Saccharomyces cerevisiae S288C: one gene and its partner. Changing the gene in region 2 together with the main gene of any one other region gives a genetic interaction. Each region holds a gene or a part of one and is shown on either strand. Other genes may lie near its edges. The genes, in order: GDH1 and GAT1.

Evidence for each region.
Region 1: of GAT1 (region 2) and GDH1, changing one suppresses a phenotype caused by changing the other (phenotypic suppression), as found in Saccharomyces cerevisiae (one study listed by BioGRID).

The regions. Positions count from the first base shown.
Region 1 is NC_001147.6:1,040,855-1,044,978, forward strand, and holds GDH1 (glutamate dehydrogenase (NADP(+)) GDH1), read right to left. Parts: upstream 2,189-4,124; coding exon 824-2,188; downstream 1-823. Other genes in the region: aldehyde dehydrogenase (NADP(+)) ALD4, read left to right, coding at 1-545; YOR376W (uncharacterized protein), read left to right, coding at 2,337-2,705. UniProt on the Saccharomyces cerevisiae protein: Catalyzes the incorporation of an ammonium ion into alpha-ketoglutarate to form L-glutamate, the major route of assimilation of ammonia into an organic form in yeast.
Region 2 is NC_001138.5:94,178-98,321, forward strand, and holds GAT1 (Gat1p), read left to right. Parts: upstream 1-1,788; coding exon 1,789-3,321; downstream 3,322-4,144. Other genes in the region: FRS2 (phenylalanine--tRNA ligase subunit alpha), read right to left, coding at 1-833. UniProt on the Saccharomyces cerevisiae protein: Positive regulator of multiple nitrogen catabolic genes.

The DNA of each region.
Region 1 (4,124 bases), on a different chromosome or scaffold from region 2:
AATTCATTGAAGAGTTCAAAGCCGCTTCTGAATCCATCAAGGTGGGCGACCCATTCGATGAATCTACTTTCCAAGGTGCACAAACCTCTCAAATGCAACTAAACAAAATCTTGAAATACGTTGACATTGGTAAGAATGAAGGTGCTACTTTGATTACCGGTGGTGAAAGATTAGGTAGCAAGGGTTACTTCATTAAGCCAACTGTCTTTGGTGACGTTAAGGAAGACATGAGAATTGTCAAAGAGGAAATCTTTGGCCCTGTTGTCACTGTAACCAAATTCAAATCTGCCGACGAAGTCATTAACATGGCGAACGATTCTGAATACGGGTTGGCTGCTGGTATTCACACCTCTAATATTAATACCGCCTTAAAAGTGGCTGATAGAGTTAATGCGGGTACGGTCTGGATAAACACTTATAACGATTTCCACCACGCAGTTCCTTTCGGTGGGTTCAATGCATCTGGTTTGGGCAGGGAAATGTCTGTTGATGCTTTACAAAACTACTTGCAAGTTAAAGCGGTCCGTGCCAAATTGGACGAGTAAGGTCATCAATAAGCCTGGTGTCCAATCGATGCTTACATACATAAAATTAAATATTCTGTCTCTGTTATATTTCCACATGTCATCATTTCAAATATATGTACTTTAAAGAAAATAAAATAAAAAATAAAATTTTTTTCTCCCGATAATCAATTTTCTTAATTAATTAATTGCGTTACGATTCCGTTTTTTTACTTCTTTTATCTCATTATCTATCTAAGTTATTTAAAAAAAAGAAAGAACTTTTTATGAACTTTCCTCTTTTCTTTCTTTTAGACTATTTAAAATACATCACCTTGGTCAAACATAGCATCAGAGACCTTGATGAAACTTGCGATATTAGCACCTTTGACCAAAGATGGCAAGACCTTACCGTCCTTAGTGTACTTCTTGGCATAGTCGATACATTCATTGAAACAGTTGATCATAATTCTCTTCAACTCTTGGTCAACTCTTTCGCTAGTCCATGTGATTCTTTGAGAGTTTTGTGCCATTTCTAAACCAGAAACAGCAACACCACCCAAGTTAGCAGCCTTTGGTGGACCGTACCAAACAGCTTCGCTTGGTCCAGTGGCGGTGGAACGAGCAGTTTCAAAGACGGCAATAGCTTCTGGAGTGGAACCCATGTTGGAACCTTCGGCAATAAACTTGACACCTTGAGCAACCAAGGCCTTGGCTTCTTCACCGCTGACTTCATTTTGGGTGGCACATGGCAAAGCAATGTCGACCTTTTGGACGTGGGTCCATGGACGAGCACCAGCAATGTATTGCACTTTGTTTTCGGAGAAAGTAGAGTATTCGTTGACGATTTGTTCCAAGGACTTGAAGTTGACCTTAGCACTGGAAATATCAGCGACTTGTTCGGAGGTGATACCAGTTTCAGAGATGATACAACCCTTGGAGTCAGATAGGGAAACGACAGTACCACCTAGCTCAATAACCTTCAAGGCAGCGTATTGAGCAACGTTACCACTACCAGAGATGGTGACGCGCTTACCTTCGAAAGATTCCTTACCGTTTGTGGCATAGTCGATCATAGCTTGAGTATAGTAAACTAAACCGTAACCAGTGGCTTCTGGTCTGATCAAAGAACCACCCCAGTTCAAACCCTTACCGGTTAAGACACCTTCCCAGGAGTTCTTGTATGATCTGTAAGCACCGAACAGGTAACCAATTTCACGACCACCAACACCGATATCACCAGCTGGCACGTCAGTGTCTTGACCAATGTGTCTGCTCAATTCTCTCATGAAAGCATAACAGATTCTTCTGATTTCGTTATTAGATCTTCCCTTCAAGTCCACACATAGACCACCTTTACCACCACCCATGTCTAGGCCGGTCAAGGAGTTCTTGAAGATTTGTTCGAAACCCAAGAATTTCAAGATAGACAAGTTCACGGAAGGATGGAAACGTAGACCACCCTTGTATGGACCCTTGGCGGAGTTATATTGCACTCTGTAACCTTGAGCAACTTCTTGTTCACCCTTGTCATTTTCCCAGGTGACTCTGAATTGTATGATTCTTTCTGGAACAGAAACAATTGGCAAAACCTTTCTGTATTCTGGGTGTTGTTCGAAAAGAGTAGAGTCTTCCAAAGAGGAGACAACTTCTTCGTAAGCTTGTTGAAATTCTGGCTCTGACATTTCTTTTTCTTTTTGGTCTCCTAACTGTTATATTAGAATAATGCGATAGTACGTATCAAGCAACTTTCAATGCTATAAGAAAAGTCATTTAAAGAGTGAGAGAATATAAAATGGGTAAACGCATTTGTAACTCTCGTATATTTTATATATGAAAAACAGAAAATTTTCCAATCTTCTCTTACTTAGATTACGTATACTTTGCTTTAACAAGAAGCCGGCCTTTGCTGCTACTTCTTACGCTTTCTTCTTCCGCAATTTTTCAGTGCTGATTTTCATTATGGTACCTGATGAAAAAGAAAACGGCGCAGCAGCTGATAACAGCTTCTCTCTGCTGATTGGACGTGGGGTCGTACTATTTCTTTTTTATTGCCCCACCGCACTGAAAATGCATGGGCCGGTTCCGGCGCATTGGTTCTGCGATAAGAATATCGAGGCCATCCAATCAGATGGTCAGATAAGGTTATTAAGATCAGGCCCGTTTCCATGGAGTCATGGAACCTGCATAAGGGGAGCCTGATACACTAGAGAATAATGACCTGAGTGGATGTAGCATCATATTCCTTATGAAATCCTCTTATCCAGCCAATCGTAAACGATGCCCTCCCCCACGTTATTGTTGTATAATTCAGGTTATGCCCAGATGCGGAGTGGTGCCCAGATCGACTCGAACGCATGGTCTTCTAGGACTCTTTATCGCAGCCCCATGAAGCAGTGCCACTTTATACTGAATGGAGTTACTAATATGGTTTGGCTCGGTTGGTATACTGGCCACAGCCCGCTAGAATAATTCAAGAAAAAAAGCCAATGCTGGACAGAATCACTGTAGAGTTTAGCGGACTTGAACCTAAAGAAGTTCATCTCCTTCTTGTCGGGAGCTTCGGTGTGCTAGTTTGTTACTGTCGAAGAGTCCATCATTAAGAGAAGTTTTCGAAGCTTCTGTCGCTGAACTACTGTATGCGAGATTACACTTTACAGAATAACTTGGGAAGCTGTCATTCTTGGTAGAATATGAAGGCTTTGAGTGCTGATCTAAGATCAGCTTACGCAAAGTTTCTTGCACTTACGCGATTGGAGCCGACGGCTTGGTAAAAATTTTCGAAATTGCAGGTTCTTGAAGCAGAGATTGTTCCGAAGAAACTTGGTTTCCAATCAGATAGAGAAGTGGGCTTTCTGGTCATGCCACGCAAGTTACAAGCGCGGAATTGCTACCACTTTACGTCTTTCTTCATGTTCCTCGGACGTTTCCAATCATTAGCCGTTCCTCTAGACATCTACAGATCTATTCCTAATCACAACCTATCTCTAGCCGCAAGATATATCTGTGTGAGAGGGGTCGCAACAGGAATACCTTAAATGGGATAACCGTCACGTGACTCTCACTAGGGGCATCAAGTGCGCTGCTTCTTCAAGGTTTTCGCGCCCTGTTTGAAGAAGTGGCACAGAATCCATAGAGTAATATTACTAACGAGCTACGAAACTTAGCTTACCTATTAAATACTCAAAGAAAATACGCTGTGTATGCTTTTGCGGCACATCTATGTCATTAAATCTCTCCATGGCGCGTATATTTTATGACGGGAAATCTGAGGCCGATCGAGGAGGGAAATTACTAGAAAAGCTTATCCTTCTTTACCTCCGAACAAATTTTAAAATATACCTCAATGGGAATAAAGAATGCAAGGAAAGGCAAGGTTCAGCCTATGATGATGAATATCGTACTCTAAAATTATAGATATCTAACTGTGGGCGTATTAAACCTTGCTTTGGTCATTATCCAATCGTGTATGCAGAGAGCGGGGCGATATGCAGCAAACAAAAGGGGCGAAATAATAGTTACTCCAAAGATGAAATGGCAGAAGAAAATGGAAAACTATACAGTTTGCGAAGGAGGCATCCTCTTAGTTAAAAAAAAATTTGGACTCATTGCACTGCAAAC
Region 2 (4,144 bases):
TCTTGCAGGTCACGAGCAGGATGCTGTTGTGGGACGTAAAGGGCATCGAAGTTCCAGAAACCTGTCTCGACGTATTGGTTCGAGGGCATCTCTGTGAATCCCATGGAAAAGAAAATTTGTCTAAATTCCTCTCTGACTTTGTTTAAGGGGTGAAGAGCACCTGAAGATATTTGCACACCTTGAGAATTGAAATTGTAAGGCTTGAACTTCAAGTCCTTGTATGCATTGGTGGAGACCATGTCGGAGGTAAGATCGGTTTCCAATTTGGTGAGGTCGGTCGAGAACTCTGGCCCTTTGGTAACGTTGAAATCTGTGATTTTACCTTGAGCAATTAACTTTCTTTTCTTCAAGTCGTTCAAAATCTTGGCGTCAATGCTATCCAGATGCGAGTTGTTCTTGATTTGCGCTAGAATAGATTGCGTTTCATCAGTAAGCTCATTTAAATCGGTATTTTGCAATTTTGCGGAGAGTTCAAGCTCGTTTGAGGCGTTTTTGGCGATCCAGCCGTTCTTGAAAGCTCTAGCCTGACCGACCTTACCAACTTGAGGACCCAGTTTGGACATCACATCTTTGATTTGAAGTTGACCCAACTCTTGGATGAGCTTGACTAGTTTAATTTCGTACGAACCTTCATTCAAAATTTGAGCACCTTCTTTGGTCAAGTCATACGTAACCGTGTCGACCTTGGAAAACTCTAACTTGTTGTGGGCTTTCAAAGAGTTCAAAGCGGAAAGAACATCTTGAGAGCCGTGCTGAGGGAAAGTTGCCAGTGTGGACTTGATCTCATCCAATTCATCTAGTTTTTTTAGAATTTCTAATTGGAAGTCAGACATCTTTACGTTAGGGGGTGAGAGAGGGAGGGGGGTGCCTTTAATGTATATATACGTAAGATATATATATATATGTATATATATGGAAATGTATTCACAACTTTACATGTGCATTAACCACAAGTACTGCGTACGTTCAAGATTACAGCAATGCGTTTTATTAATTTTTCAAGCATTTTTCACGTAGAGAGGAACAAAGTTTACTGAAAAGAAAAGAGGTAGAGAAAAACAGAAAAATTTTTTTTTTCTGTTTTTCCTGCCTCTTTTCTTTGTTTGATTCAATATGGTCGACCGGGTAAACCCCTGATAAAACGATACCAAAGCCGGGTCACCTAACTTATGGCCAAATGCGACCGGTCCCGCTTTCCGATTTTAGCCGGCGAAGACGTACTTGGCGCCATAATCAAAACCTAGCTTGCCCAATACTTCTGAGTTCTACGTGGTGCAAAAATATTTTTTTTTTTTTGAAAAACCTACCCTATTTCATTATAGATGCATCCATCAGTATTACGGTGTCCTCACACAACCCTGTCTCTGCACAACGTAATACCTCCTTTTCCCGTCTGCTAGCTCTCATTTCGCGGTAATCCAACTTCAACCAGCAACCCGGATCTTCTATACGCAGTCCGGTGTGTGGGTGCATGACTGATTGGTCCGGCCGATAACAGGTGTGCTTGCACCCAGTGCCCAACGTCAACAAAGCAGGAACAACGGGCTGATAAGGGAGAAGATAAGATAAGATAAGATAACAAATCATTGCGTCCGACCACAGGCCGACACATAGCAGAACGATGTGAAGCAGCGCAGCATAGTGTTAGTGCCGGTGCAGCTACCGCTGGTATTAACAGCCACCACAATACAGAGCAACAATAATAACAGCACTATGAGTCGCACACTTGCGGTGCCCGGCCCAGCCACATATATATAGGTGTGTGCCACTCCCGGCCCCGGTATTAGCATGCACGTTTTCTTTCCTTTGCTTTTCCGCCCTTCCCCTGTTCTGTTCATCGCATGTGCATATATATATATAGATATATATATACATTGTACACGGTGCACGGTAGTGAACATAACTATGAGCACGAACAGAGTCCCGAACCTCGACCCGGACTTGAATTTAAACAAAGAAATCTGGGACCTGTACTCGAGCGCCCAGAAAATATTGCCCGATTCTAACCGTATTTTGAACCTTTCTTGGCGTTTGCATAACCGCACGTCTTTCCATCGAATTAACCGCATAATGCAACATTCTAACTCTATTATGGACTTCTCCGCCTCGCCCTTTGCCAGCGGCGTGAACGCCGCTGGCCCAGGCAACAACGACCTCGATGACACCGATACTGATAACCAGCAATTCTTCCTTTCAGACATGAACCTCAACGGATCTTCTGTTTTTGAAAATGTGTTTGACGACGATGACGATGATGATGACGTGGAGACGCACTCCATTGTGCACTCAGACCTGCTCAACGACATGGACAGCGCTTCCCAGCGTGCTTCACATAATGCTTCTGGTTTCCCTAATTTTCTGGACACTTCCTGCTCGTCCTCCTTCGATGACCACTTTATTTTCACCAATAACTTACCATTTTTAAATAATAATAGCATTAATAATAATCATAGTCATAATAGTAGTCATAATAATAACAGTCCCAGCATCGCCAATAATACAAACGCAAACACAAACACAAACACAAGTGCAAGTACAAACACCAATAGTCCTTTACTGAGAAGAAACCCCTCCCCATCTATAGTGAAGCCTGGCTCGCGAAGAAATTCCTCCGTGAGGAAGAAGAAACCTGCTTTGAAGAAGATCAAGTCTTCCACTTCTGTGCAATCTTCGGCTACTCCGCCTTCGAACACCTCATCCAATCCGGATATAAAATGCTCCAACTGCACAACCTCCACCACTCCGCTGTGGAGGAAGGACCCCAAGGGTCTTCCCCTGTGCAATGCTTGCGGCCTCTTCCTCAAGCTCCACGGCGTCACAAGGCCTCTGTCGTTGAAGACTGACATCATTAAGAAGAGACAGAGGTCGTCTACCAAGATAAACAACAATATAACGCCCCCTCCATCGTCGTCTCTCAATCCGGGAGCAGCAGGGAAAAAGAAAAACTATACAGCAAGTGTGGCAGCGTCCAAGAGGAAGAACTCACTGAACATTGTCGCACCTTTGAAGTCTCAGGACATACCCATTCCGAAGATTGCCTCACCTTCCATCCCACAATACCTCCGCTCTAACACTCGCCACCACCTTTCGAGTTCCGTACCCATCGAGGCGGAAACGTTCTCCAGCTTTCGGCCTGATATGAATATGACTATGAACATGAACCTTCACAACGCCTCAACCTCCTCCTTCAACAATGAAGCCTTCTGGAAGCCTTTGGACTCCGCAATAGATCATCATTCTGGAGACACAAATCCAAACTCAAACATGAACACCACTCCAAATGGCAATCTGAGCCTGGATTGGTTGAATCTGAATTTATAGATCCCCCAAAAAAAAAAAAGTACTCGCTTCTTTCCATGTCCGCTTCATATATATATACACATACTAATCAAACTCTATGTATACATAGAATAAAAAGAAGAACACTATATTTATTTCATAAAAAAAAAAAAAAAATAACAAAAAAAGTGCAACATTTATCAAAAGCTCAGTGTGCGTTATGCTTCCATGTGACCCAACATCTATTGCGGCGGTGACAGAATAGTTGAAAGGCGCAGGGCTCACACACAGGAATGGCCCTCCCAAATTTAAAAGAGAACTAAACCAGTTATCCTAGGCAATTACTTTATTTGAGTCTTATATGACGTCACTAGAAGCTCAGTAAGAGCAACCGAGACCTGAACATCCTTTTTTTTTTGCTTCTTTATTTGGCAGCATTTTTCAAAAATAATAAAATGGAAGCCGCGAGTACGAACAATGATGTGTTCTGGGAATACCTCGTCAAAACAAGACAATGGCAAGGATTTTCTTTCATCAGGCAGAAAGATCTGGATCTGAATGGCATCATTTTGTGATGTGTAAAAGCGGGACCTTGTTATTTCGACTTTTTGCATCATGTTGATGCAATTTGCTACTTTTCCGACGGTGCGCTCCAACGGATGGGTATTTCCTTAATAACAAGGCATTTCTCTGGAAGTTGGCTTACTGTTTGAAATCACAGCCGGTCACAAAATAAAGTAAAAAAACTATCTCTCTCCACAAGAAGTAATTACAGGTTGTATACTACATATGATCGTATTTCTTTATGAACACTAAGGAGTTTCCCGCTGTGTACCGCAATATCCACACAAAAGGAAGGAAGAAA